2 linked regions of the Tamandua tetradactyla genome follow. The protein of the gene in region 2 interacts with the protein of the main gene of each other region in a pairwise test. Links are inferred from orthologs where the notes say so. Each region holds a gene or a part of one and is shown on either strand. Other genes may lie near its edges.

Region 1 (7,662 bases), on a different chromosome or scaffold from region 2:
CAGGCTCAGAAACCCAGGGCACAGAGCCCAGCAGAGAAACTCACAGGGACATCTGGGGCGATCCATTACTAACACCCCCAAACACCCCATCTCCCTCCCCTGGGTCTAAACAGACACAGGAGGACAGGCCCGAAGCCCCACCCCACCCCACTGCAACCAATTACAGGCCAGCAGCTGGGACACCCAGAGGCAGGCCCTGCACCCTTTTCTCCCACCCCCACCCCCCCACACCAGACAAGACACCCACAGAGCTCTGTATAGATGCACGTGGTCAGACACAGGCGCTCACAGAGCCCGCTGTAAACACTCAGGCTAAATGTAGCTCCAGAGAGGCCAGACGCTTGCGTGAACACGCGCGCGCGCGCACACACACACACAAACGCTCAGTGTCTCACAGACAACCCCTAAGAGACTCTCAGAGATGGACACTGGCAAGTGACACACACATAAATCAATAACACACACAGACTCCCAGTCAGGGCTCACAAACTCTCACACACACCCCAACGCCATCCAGACTTCCACGTGCTTTCACATCCGCTCAATGAACAGTCATCTTCAGACACCTGTGAACATGAAATGGGGCACCCAGAGCTCTTGCGGCCATAGGGCAGAGATTCCATGAGAACTGGGGCCTGCCCCCAGTGCACTAGGCTGACCAAGCAGGGGAAAGCCAAGGGGTAGAGAACCGGCAGAAACTTGTGGGGAAGAAGAGCCATTTCTCCACTTTCATGCACACGTCTGCTTCCACCTGTCTCCCCTCCGTCACTTCATCTGGGCACCCCTACATCCCCAAGCACATGTCAGATGGGGCTGAAGAGCTGGGCAGGAATGTCCACCCAGCAGGGGAGCTGGGGGAGATGGGGAATTGGTGAGGTAGGGAGGGACCCTGAGGCCAGTGCTGAGGGTGGTGCCTGTAGGGCGATGAGGTCGGCTCATGGCAGAAGCAAATGACCATCCAGCAAGGCTGAGTGGCCATCACGGGCTGCGGGGGTGTTAAGTCCCTCTCTCTGCTGGGCTGAGGCCAGGCTTTCCAGCTGGGAGTGCATGGAGTGGGGGCTTCACATTTAGTAGTTGTCTCCTGGCCAGGAGGGAGGGCAGGCCCCGTGCTCTAGGGGGCAGATGAGGTTACCTCAGTGGGGCTAGTCTGAGCACCTGTCCTGGGTCGGTTCCTCAATGCCGGAACACCCTCTTCCTCTGAGATCGGGAGGCTCCTCCCCTCCCCATTTTCAGACAGCAAGCCGAGCGTTGGGGAGGCCGGGAGGGACAGACTTAGAAGCTGAACAAGCAAGGACAGCCCCCAAACATCCCGCCTCCCCAGGAGCCCCAGGCCTCCGGCCTTGGCTACCCGGCGCCCCGGCCGGGGTCCTCCCTCCGCTCCCCCTACCTCTCATCGCTCTTCCCGCAGACCCAGGCGTCCGACCCCGGGAGCGGGGCCTCCTCGGCGGCTGGGCCGAGGGGAGGGGTTGGGGGAGGCGGAGGGAGCCGGGAGCCGGGAGCCGGGAGCCAGGAGCGGGAGGCGCCGGCGGGGCTCGGGTGTCGGGAGGCGGCTCCCAAGAGCAGCTGTCGGGGGGCCTGTTCCGGGGAGAGGAGCCAAGGCTGGGGCGGCTCGAGCCCAGGCGCCGCCCCCCAGCTCCCCCCCCACCTCCGCCACGGTTCCCCCTCCCCTTCTCCTCCTCCTCGCCGCCCCCACCCCGCTCCCTCCCCTCTGCCTTCTCGCGGCGCGTCGGGCTCGCTGCCCTCCCTTCCACCTTGGTTCCCGCGGCTCCCAAGCCTGGCGCCGCCTTCGCGGCCCGCGCTCCTCTGCGCTCCGCCACGCCCACCCCGCATTCCCCCGCGTGCCGCGGCCTTCCCCAGGTAACCACCGTGCGGTCCCCTGCTCAGCGCTGCAGTCCCTCCCCACCTCCCCCCCGCCCCCCGCCCTCTCCCAGGCAGCCCAGCCTCTCAGCGCGGTGTCCTCCTGCCGGCTCCCTGCCCATCGCCTCCCACCAGAGCCTACCACCCCGTCCCCGCCCCAGTGTCCCCCACAAATGAAAACTATCAAAGCTGAGACCCCAGGGGGCCGAACTGAACCCTGATCCGGACCTCCAGGCCCGGGCACCTTCAGGCCTCTGGAGGGAGATCGCTCCCCTCCCCTGCTCCCCCTTCTCCCTCTCTCTGGGCTCAGTTCTTGGGGAGGAAGGTAAAGGGGAGCAGCTCCAGGGAACAGGAGAAGGAGCAGGTTCTCACAGGCCCGACTCAGCGTGGCAGCAGGAGTTTGGGGGGGGGGGGAAGGGTGCAGGGCTCACGTGGCCAGCCAGGCCCCCTGAACCCACTCTTTTCACACCACCAATCTGCTGCCCTGCACCCCAACCTGGGACTGCCCACCCACTCTCTTCCAGTTCCTCTCCCCTTCTCTGCAGGGCATTTCTGTCCTCTCAGGGTAGCCTCTGTCCAGACTCCTCAGGTGTAGCCAGCTCTGGCCCTGGAGGGGACCCGAGGGTCTGGTCCCTGGCAGGGACTGGCTAGAAGTCCTCCACCAAGGGACCAGGTGGGGAGGGGGAGGATAGAGGCACCATGGGAATCAGACACAGTGGACAGGAGAGGGAAGAAGGGAGCCAGAGAAGATGGGTGCAAGTAGACAGGGTCAACAAATGAAATGAGAGAGAGAAACCAAACAAATGGGGTGAGATATGAAGACAGAGCTTGTGGGGCGAAGGCATTGCACCCTAAGCCCTCCCTGGGGCCGCACCTTCTCTCTCCACAGGCCCACATCTGCCAGGCAACTAGCCGATGTCACCATCCAGTAGAGAGCTCTGTCCCTTGATACCTCCCAGCAGATATGAGCTTTGTGCTGTCCCAGACAGCAGTCCCAGGAAAGAAACACAACGTCCCGACCAGATAAGTACACAGCAACACCACCAGGAAGAGGCTGGCCATTGGGAGAGGCCATGGCACATAGGGACACTCCCACGTTGAACACATAAACCCAAGGACGCCCCGACTGTTAAGGGACATCTGCGAGCAGAGAGCCCGGTGGTCACTGAGACAAGTCCCTTGTCCGGCCTTTCCCTCCCACCGGACCCCTAGGGTTCCCCACCCAGAGTTCTCACCCCTCCGGAGACAGCCGCTGGGGAATCTGGGCCCTGGAGAGGCAGGGCCAGGGGTGGAGCTGGGGGAGGGGTGGAGCCCAGCTTCCCAAGTAACCTCACCTGGGCAGACCACAGTCCCTCCTACCAGGGCTGTACTCTGGGGAGGCCGGGGCAGGCTGGCAGGGCTAAGCTGGAATGGAGTAGGCGCCCCTCACACCCCAGTGAGACATTCTAAACCCCAGGCCTGGCGCTGACCGGGCCAGGTGGCATGGTGGTGCCAGACAGCAGGTTCCGCTGGGGAGACTGGAGGAAGCCAGAGAGTCCTGAACACCCTCTCCCTACTCCCCCAGGAGAAATTCCTAGTGGGTGATGCCCACCTCGCCCCAACCCAGGGCTGGAAGAGTGGGGAAGTATGCAGGGCTGGGACCCTGCGGAGTCAAGTGACAGTGGACAGGAGGCTGGAGCCGGCTGGAATGTGGGCTCGGAGCTGAGATTCCCAGGGGCCAAGGAGGGAAATCCCAGCCATGCAGGGGCCCCCAGAGCAGCACCAAAGACCAAGAATACCCACCCACCTGCCTGTGCCCCTGCAGAGCCCATCCCACGTCCTGCATCACTCCCCACCCCTAGAGGCCCCTCCCCACCCCTAGAGGCCCCCGTGTCTTCCTGAATCCCCAAAAGGACCCTCTACCCATTTCCCCATGCCTTCTCCTCCAGGGCTTCCCTCCAGGGCTTCCCTCTCCAGTCAGTGGCCTCCTGGGGCCCGGGGAAGGAGAGGAGGGGAAACAGCTGAAAAAATGTGAGGAGAGGCACATAGGAGAGAGCGGCTTCCGGCCTGCAGACCACCGGGCCACTGCAGGAAACCCACAGGACCAGTGAGAGGGAGGATGGCCCAGGTGGGCCCCCAGAGGCTACCTTCCTGGAGATGCAGCTGCCTCTGGAGGGAGCAGGCTGGGTCAGCAGCTGGGGAGAGGGAGAAGCTGCTGAGGGTAGGGGGTGGGGGTGCAGTGAGAGTGAACAAGGCCCGGGCATGAGTCAGAGCTTGGTGGCTCCCAGTACATATGGGAAACTGAGGTCCAGGAGTAGAAGGAGGAGAAAGAGATGACATTGGTCCAGGGGAAACATGAGACAGGGCTCAGCTGTGGAGAGCCTGGGCAAGGGAGAGAGCAGAAACAGGGGACCAGAAGGAGGAGGGAGGCTTATGGTCAGATGGGGATAGTGGTGACCAAACTCAGAGAGAGGCAGGAGATAGACTGAGGTCGAGGCTGAGGGAAACTGGGTGTAAAGAGGAAGAGGATAGAGGCAGGGGCCACCTAGGGTGGGAAGACTTCAGGACTCAAGGGAGAGCCTTGAGGTGTGGCCCTGGTGAGTGAACTGCAGAGCAGACAGAGGTCCTCGGAGAGGACCGTGGGAAACAGGAGCAGTGAGAGGGGTGGAGAGAGACCACAGGGCAGGAGAAGCAAAGACAAAGGGAGGGAAGAGGACGTTGGAGTCAAACTGAGAGACTGGGGAAAGAAACAGAAGGTTGAGGCACAAGGGCTGAAACTAAGGGCTATGGGGACAACTGCGCAACAGAGGAGGCAAGACCGAGGCCCAGAGACTTAGTCAAACCTCATTTCTGTGGTTCAGGACGCAGAGGTCCCAGCCCTCCCCTTGGGGCCATCCTAGCCTGCCCCAGCTCTGCTCCCCATCCTTCCCGCTCTCAGCCTGCTCCCCTCCTCCCACTCTCCTTCCAGCCGGACCGCCTGGCCCCTCCCCACAAGGGGAGGGCCCAGCTCCCGTGCCCAGGCCTGCCCTCCCAACTCAGCTCTGCTTTCCTCCCTCTTACCTCCAGCACTAGGTTCTCCCGGGTCCGGGCCCCCCCCCAGCCTTACACCTTTGGAGTTCCAGGTCTGGGGCTGCCGAGGCTGCCTGGCTTTGTCCGCCCGTCCGGGCCGGGTGCCCTGGAGCAGCTGCCCTGGCCAGCTGCGGCTGGCTTCACCGTGACCATGACAACGCAGCCCCGCTCCCCTCAGCCCCCGCAGAGAGGGAGGGAGCAGCCTGGCCCGGAGAAAGGGAGGGGAAGCAGAGGACTGTGAAACCAACCAAAGGGAGACCCCAGACAAAGAGACCCCAGACAAAGGGACACGGAGGGCGGCAGAGTGGGGAGAAAGCAACTTTGCAGCTGAGCGCTTATGCAGTGGGGGGCCCTCCTGAGGAGGAGAGAGAATCCAGACCAGAGGGGGACAGCCACACTTTAAAGTGGGAGCACAGAGATGAGAACTAACTGGTGGTGGTCCTTGGGCGACAACCTGCTTGGTTCCGTGAAAGGCATCCCCCATTTTCAAGAACAAGCCTGATTTCAAACATACTCTGACTTAAGGACAAATGTCATCGTTGGACAACGCAGTCCAATTCTTGGTCTGGAAAAATATGCTCCCCAAAGCCAAATGTGACTCTGATGAGGTCTGGAGGGAGTGAGGCATGGAGGCAGAGACCAAATGCCTCTCAGGAGCAGGTGACAAGAATGAGAGGACCAAATGGGGAGGGGAGAAGGCACTGCCTTGCAATCTGAGAGGTGAGGTTTGAAATTGCCCCTCACCATCTAGCAGATCTTGGCTGAGTTGTACCGGGTCCCAGTGCCCTCCCTAGTAATGTAGAGATAATAATCCTTGCCCCGGTGGTCTGCTGGGATGAGGAAGTGACACAACATCTGCGAAGTGCAGGTCCATTGGATGGAAGCCACCTTCCAAGCTCCTGCAGCATGCTCTCCCTCTGTAGCTTTCTGATGTGTCTCTCAGGCCTTCTGAGTTCCACTCCCCAGTTCATTCCACAGTTATTATTAAGGGTTTGTCTAGGGCGGGGCTGTGATGGTCAAAGCTTTGAAAGATTCATTGAGGAATATGACCCACTCCCTGCCCTCTGCCCCTTTCCAGTCTAGGAGGGGGACAGGTAGAAGTGCAGGATTGCACTGGAGAAGGAGCTGGAAGAGGCTGTGGGGGTGGGGGGCGGGGGGAAGGGCCAGACCAGGTCCTCCTGAGGACAGAGAACTCAGGAAGAGTTGGCGCTTGATCTAGGCCTTAAATCAGGCTAAGAATTTGCAGAGATGAGGGAAGGACGTTTCCGGCTGAGGAAGCCGAGGGAAGATGGGCAAGAAGACCTGAGTGTGGTTATTTGAAAATGCTGTTGGGACTGTAAGAAGGGGTTCTCTTCTGGCAAGTAAGCCCAGAAAGGCAGGTAGTGGACTCTCTTGCTGGTAGTTTGGCTTATTCTGAAGGTGAGAAGTCCTGCTGTTTTGAGATGAGAAATGACGGGATTAGATTTTGTTATTTTAAAAGTCGTTTCTCTTTTTCCTGCAAAGGATAGGCTAAGCCTACTAAAAGTAAGGCGTAGGAGTCACCCCCAGAGAACCTCTTTTGTTGCTCAGAAGTGGTCTCTCTCTCTCTAAGTCAACTCAGCATGTGAACTCACTGCCCTCCCCCCTACATGGGACATGACTCCCAGGGGTGTAAATCTCCCTGGCAAAGTGGGACAGATATCCTGGGATGAGTTGGGACCAGCATCAAGGGATTGAAAAAGCCTTCTTGACCAAAAGAGGGAAGAGAGAGATGAGACAAAATATAGTTTCAGTGGCTGAGAGATTTCAAACAGAGTTGAGAGGTCATCCTAGAGTTTTTTCTTGTGCATTATGTATATATATCCCCTTTTTAGTTTATGGTGTATTGGGGTGGCTGGAGGGAAGTACCTGAAACTGTAGAGCTGTGTTCCAGTAACCTTGATTCTTGAAGACGATTGTATAAAAATACAACATTTACAATATGACTGCGTGATTGTGAAAGTCATGTCTGAAGTTCCTTTGATCCAGGGTATGGACAGATGAGTAAAAAATATGGATAATAAATAAATAAATAAATAATAGGAAGGGACAAGGGGTAAAATAAATTGAGTAGATGGAAATGCTAGTAGTCAATGAGAGGGTGGGGTAAGGGGTATGGTATGTATGAGTTTTTTTCTTTTTATTTCTTTTTCTGGAGTGATGCAAATATTCTAAAAAATAATCATAGTGATGAATACACAACTATGTGATGATTTTGTGAGCCACTGATTCTACACCACGTATGGAATGTATGTGTATGAGGATTTCCCAACAAAAATATATATTTTTAAAAAGTCGTGTCTGGTGGGGGGACAGATGCACTGTACAGGACAGTGGCTCAGGGGTCAGGGTGGGCACCGGGGGCTTCACTTGCCACCTGATTGGGCTTGAGTCTGTGTTTCTGCTTCCTTGTCTGTAGAACCCACTATTATGGGCTAAAATGCTTTAGAACAGTGTCTGGCCTGTAGTAAACGCTCAGAAGCTGTTCATTTTTAGTATTAGTGAGGAGAAGCTGAGGGATTAATTTCAGCTTTATCCTGCCCACATCCCCCCTGACGTTTCCGCCTGCACCCCAGCCTGGAATGCCAGGAGAACAACGGCAAGGAAGTGGTCGGATCCTACAGGAATGCAACGCACATGCTGGGTATTTTCCTTGTGTTTTCACCTATCATTTAATTGTGTCCTCAGGGCCCTCTGAGGTGGCTTTCCATAAAAAGGGAAGAAGGCCCAGAGACGTTG
Region 2 (7,654 bases):
ATAATCCCAGACCTATTGATTTTAAGTGCTTCTGGATCAACTATATCATATGGTATCTTTCACTTCACATCCCTGCATTTCCAGTGGGAGATGCACCAGATTCAGAGCACATATTCCCTCTGTGTTCTATGCACAGTGAGGGAAGTCATTTCAATGCAAGCTTCTCCTACACTGTTACGAGCTTCCTCATTTACTACCCAACTGTGAATCAATAGTTCTGAGTGATGTTTCCTAAACACCCAGGCTGAATCCAAGGTCAGTCGTTGGGGTTTTGAGCAGATCACAGCCTTTCCCCTTAGGAAAAATAATGCAAAGTTCTCCATTTTTTGGCCCCCTTTTTCATCTCATGTTGCATGGGGCTCTGTAGTGATCTGTGGCTTTTTACACAAGTCTTGGTAGAATTCTGATTCCAAGAAACGGGGATAAGAGTTGTTCTCCATCAAGCTGTATACCCTTTTCTGGGCAGTTGTAAAGCAGCCACTTGTAGCCTCTTGTATATTTTGAGCAATCAATGTTTTGGTTTGAAAGTCTATGTTTATCTGAAATAAAACAGAAAATTGGTTTAGTTAATACTCAGAGTTAGAGATATGGAAATCTATTTAGTATTTGTAAAAAACAAAACAAACTAAAACCCCAAACTATAATGTCTGATTAGCTTCCCCCAGGCAGTCTTTGGAGAAACTTCAGTGAAAACTAGGATGGGGAGGAGGGGATGGATTCCTCCTACCATCACTCCCCATCCTTTTGACATCCCTTTGGTTATGATTTCACTTTGGTGCTAAAGATTTAAAAAATATTTTTCACTGTATTAGTGAAGGAGGAATTTTTTTAAATTTTTTTTTACCTCTTTTGGAGCTTCCTTTTCTATGAAGTCAGTATATATTTTCCTTGCTTTTGAGGACAGCTTTTGGGGTGACTTGGTTTTTTTGAAGTCTTCACAGGCCAGCCAGAACTCAATATTTTCTTCACAGAATTCAGATTTTAAAAAAGCCCTGAATGCAGCAAGACCATCTGAAGGGAAAAAAAAGCATGCACAATGTGAAAAAAAAGAGTGACCAAATAATCTCTTATTTTTTTATTTGTAGTACTTCCCCTCCCCCCATATTTTAATTACTTCTAGATGATAGTAATTTTCTAGATTTCACTCAAACTTGTAATCCTCAGATTTAGCTCTTTAATTTAAAGGCTAAGATGCCAGCAAGCAAACTGTTTATGGTGGCACACTGCTATAAAAATACAAAAACTTAACTTTGCTATCAATGCAAAATAAATACTTACAGGAGAGCCATAATTCTCTGGGAACTAAGCTGTTAGAAAATATTGTCTGCAATGGAAAAGCTGACTCACCCTTAAACTAAGAGTAACTGCCACTTTAATTTTTTTTAGGCTAATTTTCCCTCCATCTTGACTGAATATATGGTTAAACATGGTTTAACCCTGGAAACATCGGAAAATAGGAAATGAGAATAAAATTGGCCTTATGCTACAGTGATTGTACAGTCTAACTCCCATCAGACAAACTGCTGTTCTGTTGAGTGGACACTACCTTCCTAGACTCCTGTGACACTTGAAATGGATCAAATATAAGAAGTTAACTTACATTTACTGGCTAGCAGCTCATCGAATGCTTCTGACCACAGCTGTGCTTCCTCTGGAGAAGGCCTGCAAGACAAGCGCTGCACATTAGCTTGTGTATATCAGAGTTCCTCTTTTCAGTCCAGCATCTACAGATTCGTATTTGTAAGTATAGGATTTTTTTTACTTACTTAATAAGAGTTTGCTGTTTGCTCTTCTTCCCAATTTTGGGCTTCCCAGGAGTAGAGGAATTTTGCAAGAAGTAGCTCAAACGGGTCTTCCAATCTTTTAAACTTAAAAAAACAAAAACAAAACCCAGGTTACTCACTAAGAGGCAACCCTTGAAAATGCTACTGCAGCTGAATGTATTTCTACCAAAGTCATCCAGTAGCTACAGACAAGCCAAATAAAACCAAGTAATTTCTCTCCAAGTGAGACAAATTTTACCCATTTAATGTTAAATCCAGTTTCATCCATCAATCTGAACATAACAGTCTTATAAGTAAAGGAAGGACTACCTTAAATCACTTAAAGTCCCCAGGTATTTTAATGAATTATTTCTTGTACTTCAAAGGGCAGGTGCTACTTCTGGCCGGCAAAAGGCAGGCCGTTTCTTTGCAAAGCTAGGTACAACTCTAGGACATTTCACCCTTGATGAAAACAACAGAGGAACTGCCTTTAACAGACCCACTTATTTTCCTTCCACTTTTAAAGCAGGAGATTCCCAAAGTAAGCCAAAGGCTGCGTACAAAGAGGTGTGCGTGATTTCTCTCTCTCGTCTCTGCTCAACTACAGCACCGATTTTAAGCAGATGCTACAGAACAATCGTTTGTTACACAGTCGTGAGTGGGTTAGGTCTACTCTTCAATTAAAAGGCAATAATAGCTTTAAAAGGAGTATATTCAGAACCAGCATCAGCTGCATAAGCTGATCAGTACTCAATGTTGGGGACGCGCTTCGGCCGCAGCTGACATTTAATCTCTGATGTCATTTTAAATGCAGGGGCCAAAAACAAGAAAGACAAAATAAGCCGCGATTTCCTGGCGTCTACCAACTACCTGGTCATCCGTCGCTCATGCAACAAAATAACTATATACCCCCAAATACAGATTTAGCCTTAATTTGGCCAATGAACCTTTCCACAATTTTTGTTTCTGCAGAGACGCAGGCGATATCGTTTCCTACAGTCAAAGCCGAAACCATTCTACTGCATTTGCACAAACCGGGAGAACGAGCCCCGCAGGGTGGGAGCTGGTGGGGGAAAGGAGAACGCGGTACTTACAGGGTCCGCTTCATCTTCTCCCGCTTCTCTTCGCTCTTGGGGCCGCTGCCAGCGTTTTTGTCCATAGGTCTGCAGTCGTGCTGGACGGCCAAGAACATAGCACTTTGCATTATCGTCCTCTCGAGCCAACAGCCTGCGCTCGGCCGCGCGCCGCAGTATTTATGAGAGGCAGAGGCGAAGGGACGGAACCTCCCGGCGCCCGCCCCGCCCCCAGGGGGCGCGGATTGGCCGCCTGACGGGCACAGGGCGGGGCCAGCGCGAGCTCGCGGCTGTCACGGCCGCCAGCGAAGGGTCTCGTAACGGGGGCGCTGCTGACGTCGGCGGCCCCCGGCTTCGTGCGCAGTGGAGCCAAAATGGGCGGCTGGGCGGGGGCCGCGGTGGGGCGAGAGTTCGCCCTGTGACAGGTCGCCGGCGACCTTTGCTCGGGGTGGCGACCTGGTGGGATCCGAGGCTGTGCGGGTGGGCTGCCCCGTCCCTTACCCCCCGCCCCCGACGTGTTCCTCATCCCCAGAACGGGAGTGATGATTCCCCAGCAGGGAAAGGTGGCTTGCTGCGAGCCAGAGTGCCATTGCCTCGTATTGAATTAACAGGTTTCTCTTCCTCGTTTGAGTGCGCGCCCTGTGCCTGCGCCGCATTTGTTGTTTACACAACTTCCCTAGCAACTCAGCTGAGACCATCTGTGGAGTAAACCCGGGCGCCGGGGAGATTCTCGCTCGTGCCTCTCCTTGATTTGCTGGAAGAAACTGAACAGGAGAAACCTGAAACCTTGACGGCCCGTGGGCTTATATGGTGTGACTTGTTTTACAGCTTGCCTAGGCATTTGGAATATTTGGGGGAATGGACATTAGACAGGGAGGGAACAGGAGAAAGTGACTATCAGATGACAGTGCTGAAATTGCTTTTGCATTCTGAGCTCTACCACTAGACACAGCTGGGTACGTTCGTGGGATTGCGGGGTTATTCCTCAGGGAATCCCAGGCCTCCTCTCTTTCCAAAACAGGAATCACTGATCTCTTTTTGGTGACTTGAGAGAGAGGGAACCATCGAGATCTGGAGGCTGGAATGTTCCGGAATCATTCTAGTTTAAGTTCGCCAGTAGGCAGAATTTCCACGAGTCATTTTTGGTTGGCTTAGAATTTACCAGAACACTTAATTAGAAAAAGGAAGGAAAATTTAATAGTTTGCTTAAGTAAGTTTCATGTGTTCTTCAAAAACTCATCTCTGTCTACTCCTGCAGTCTTTAAAGTAGCTTAATTAGCAAGGAGAAATAGATCACCTCAGCCACAGAATGATTTGATTTTGGAAAACAGCATTGCCAGAACTGTAATGTAACTGGAAAATTCAAGTGGTTTTCCCACCAAGCATCTAATTCCACAGTAAGATTAACAGCAAGCTATTGGCTGGCCTGCAAATATTCTCCCAACTTTGCATTAGAACTGTTAAAAGAAAATTGGAACTAATGACCTTGCTTTTTTCAGTATTTAGAGCTCAATGTTTGATGAGGAAGCAAAATCTGCAATCATTACTAAAGAGAACAGTTAGGTACTCTATTATGGAAAGGAAAATCAGTTAGATTTTGGTAGTAGATGCTATAAAATGTTTATGAAATGTGAGAATGTCATTTTTCTCTAGTGTATTCCCTTCAGCTCTAAAAGAATTCACATTTCTTCTTTTTTCACTTGCCTTTTCTTGATAATATGAACCTCAATATTTGTTTCACTTGGAACCTAGAATAGTAGAATTCACTCATAGACAGTTGAAAAGTAGGGTTTCTAACAAGGATGCAGCAGGGAGAGAGAGCTGACTTGGTGCTAGAAAACCTAACTGGACTCTCAGCTTAACCAATAAATACCAAGTAACTGTTGGGGCAGTTACTCCACCATCTGCTTGAGCAGCAACAACTCATCTGTAAGGAAAATAATGTGTCTTTCTTGCTAATCTCATAGGATATCATGCAAATCTTATGTGAAAGTCCTCTATAAATTCTAAAGTGCTATAGCAAAACTTGTTATTAATTTGTATATATGTGGAAAAGGAAATGTTCAGAGATATAGCTATTCATGGTGGAAAAATAAAGAATTAACTCAGCTAATTTGGTTATAAATACTTAAGTACTGTTAAGATAGAAAGATAATGTCATAGAGATTTGTACAGAATCAAATTTATAACAGTTAGTTTTAAATTAAATTTTTTGAGAAGCTGTAGGCTTACAGAAAATTCATGCAGAAAATACAGAATTCCCATATATCCTTCTCCACATTATCACCTTGCATTAGGGTGGTGCCTTTATTGTAATTGATGAAAGAATATTACTATGATTGTACTATTAACCACAATAGCTATTTAATAAGTGCTCTCGATATGGCAGGAAAATAAGCAAGCATTAACATTTCAACTTATCAGAGATTTCCAAGTCACAGAGGTTCAATCATCTCAACATAGTCACAAAAGTGAATATACATGTATGCATGTAAACAACTGGTGTTTAAATACAGACTATCCTGAGTGTTCTGTAAGTGTTTAATATATTTGCTTTTTTCACAAACCCTTTTCAAATTAACAACTGATGTTAAATGGCAGAATTTATTTTTCCCTGAAAATTATGTGGTTGATTGATAAATCTGAATGTAAATGTTAAGAGTTAAGGCAATACCTGCTACGGACTGAGTAAACTTTTTGTGAAAAAGGTACTCCTTAAAGTGGCTTTTTAAAAGATTAGCAGACCTTTAGTACTATAATTAAAGGAAAGGCTACAACATTTGATGACGTCCCTTTTCTTGTTGTCGTCTTTTTTTGTTTGTTTTTGTTGTTATAATGACTTTTAGGTAAATGGGATTGCTCAAGATGAGCATGACACATTTTCCATTCTGCGGTGGAAACAGCGGAATAGGTTTGCACAGCTAAACCGCAGCTTGAGAGTGACATAACCATCCATTTTTCAGGTTGAATCTACCATGCCCTCTACTGGAAAGGTTTTCTGATTGAACACATTAGCGGTATAGGTTCTCAGTGTGGTTCCTGAGCTTGTTTGGTATTTGTTTTAAATTTCAAAAAAGATATGCAAAAAATACAAATTTTTAACAATACCAAGGGGAAAATATGACAAGCGTCCCCTCTGTCATATTCCGTTATTTTCCCATCTCCCACTCTATGCTAGCCATCATTAATCAAGTTTTATTAATCATAACTAGCAAAAATATTTATGCATAATAACTCCCATGTTTTAGACATTTAGGAGCTAAGATACATGGTTTAAAAAAGCGCAAAGGGATCATACTTTCTATTAATCTGTGCTTTGATTTTAGCTAGGTTATCTTAGTTCCTGAATTTGTAAAGGCTATAAACCTGTCGCTTACCTTATGAAATCTTTCATGTGTGGTAAGTTAAAAAAAAGGAAGAAAAAACTAGAAAATTAAACCCTGTGTAGTAAAGGGTATGATAAGTAATTGGAAAAAATGAAAACTTTTAGTACTCGGTGGACTATATTTGAGGAAGTGTGATACCTTTTTTTTTTCGTCAAATTTAACTTTTGTTAGTGAGGTATTCTTTTCATCCAGTGAACAGAAGACCAGACAAGATTCTGTACTCAATTCCTTCCCCCAATAGGAGGTGAGATTTAAAAATCATGTCTTTATTACAATGCAGTTTCCTATTCAGAAGCTGAAAAGAGAGAAAATTAGTGTCTTTGTCAGGAATGAGAGGTTAAAGAGAATACTTGACACGCATTATAGAAGAGTTAATAATTTTTATCAATTCTTATATTGATAATTCCGTTTAGAACCCTTTCTTGGTTCTACCATGAATTTATCCATGGTATGAGGTAAGTTGTACATCTTCAAATGCAGGCAGGGCCAACTTAAATTTAATAGACCTTTCCTTACTGAGCACCTGGATTCCCTTTGGAAACCAATGACAGGAACATCATGAAGTTTTGTTTTACATTGTTTTCTGAATAAAAACACTAGCATATATTGAAATACCACTAAGCTTTTTTGTTATTAGATCTGTAAGTTAAAGAACCGTAAATATGAGGTCTAAATTTGGGATTTATTTCCATTGTATGCTCATTGCTTCTTTCTCTTTTGTGACGTTGGGCTACACAGAATCCCAGGGGAGAGTAAGTGGTTATAAATGCTTTTTTATAAATGTTGCTCTATTTATAACCAGTAACTGCTCTAAGTTAAATAGGTGGCCTATTTTCTACAAAATAAAGAGGCAAGGCTAGGTATTTTTTTTTCCTGGAAGTTCTTTTGCCTGGGATTTTAATTTCTGTGCATTGAATTTGTAGAAAGTCATTACATGTGTACGTGTGTGTGTGTGTGTGTGTGTGTGTGTGTGTGTATTAGGGGGCAGTTCTATCCCAGCCTGCAGCCTTTCCCTGGGACCCACAAATACATCCTGTGCTCAGGACCAAGTATGTCAGCCTGGCAGGATAAAACACAAATCCCTAGTAGGTAAGGGGACTGCTAGTACATTTCTTCCCCTGTTGTTTTGAGCATATGTAAATGTTTCAGGTGGGCATGTTTTACTACATCCAGCTAACATCCAGGTGGTATATCCGTCTCTGGAGGGGAGGGGGTGGAGTTCCTCCACTGTGGCAGCACACAAACACAAGAAAAAGGATATTGTTTTCAGAACGGCACCCTGCTTAGCCCATGGATTGAGACCTGCTGGCTATGGGGAACCAGCTGACCTTACTTTGTGGAGCTTGTGAAGCTGACCTTGCTTTGTCTCTTCTGTATGTGAGTAAAATGTCTTTCCATAAATGCCTGTATGAGTTTTGCTTTTGCTGGAGAT

What was found. The genes of interacting proteins can lie anywhere in the genome.
Region 1: the proteins of RGS2 (region 2) and DDR1 interact in a two-hybrid assay, tested with the Homo sapiens proteins (2 studies listed by BioGRID and IntAct). The link is inferred for Tamandua tetradactyla from reciprocal best matches to the Homo sapiens genes RGS2 and DDR1.

Annotation. Positions count from the first base shown.
Region 1 is NC_135331.1:85,815,134-85,822,795, reverse strand, and holds the start of DDR1 (epithelial discoidin domain-containing receptor 1), read right to left. Parts: upstream 3,009-7,662; 5' UTR 2,933-3,008; coding exon 2,732-2,932; intron 1,576-2,731; exon of another isoform or gene 1,388-1,575; intron 1,231-1,387; exon of another isoform or gene 1,133-1,230; intron 66-1,132; exon of another isoform or gene 45-65; intron 1-44. UniProt on the Homo sapiens protein: Tyrosine kinase that functions as a cell surface receptor for fibrillar collagen and regulates cell attachment to the extracellular matrix, remodeling of the extracellular matrix, cell migration, differentiation, survival and cell proliferation.
Region 2 is NC_135330.1:48,612,723-48,620,376, reverse strand, and holds the start of RGS2 (regulator of G-protein signaling 2), read right to left. Parts: upstream 3,013-7,654; 5' UTR 2,968-3,012; coding exon 2,858-2,967; intron 1,869-2,857; coding exon 1,767-1,868; intron 1,663-1,766; coding exon 1,601-1,662; intron 1,012-1,600; coding exon 845-1,011; intron 540-844; coding exon 345-539; 3' UTR 1-344. UniProt on the Homo sapiens protein: Regulates G protein-coupled receptor signaling cascades. Inhibits signal transduction by increasing the GTPase activity of G protein alpha subunits, thereby driving them into their inactive GDP-bound form.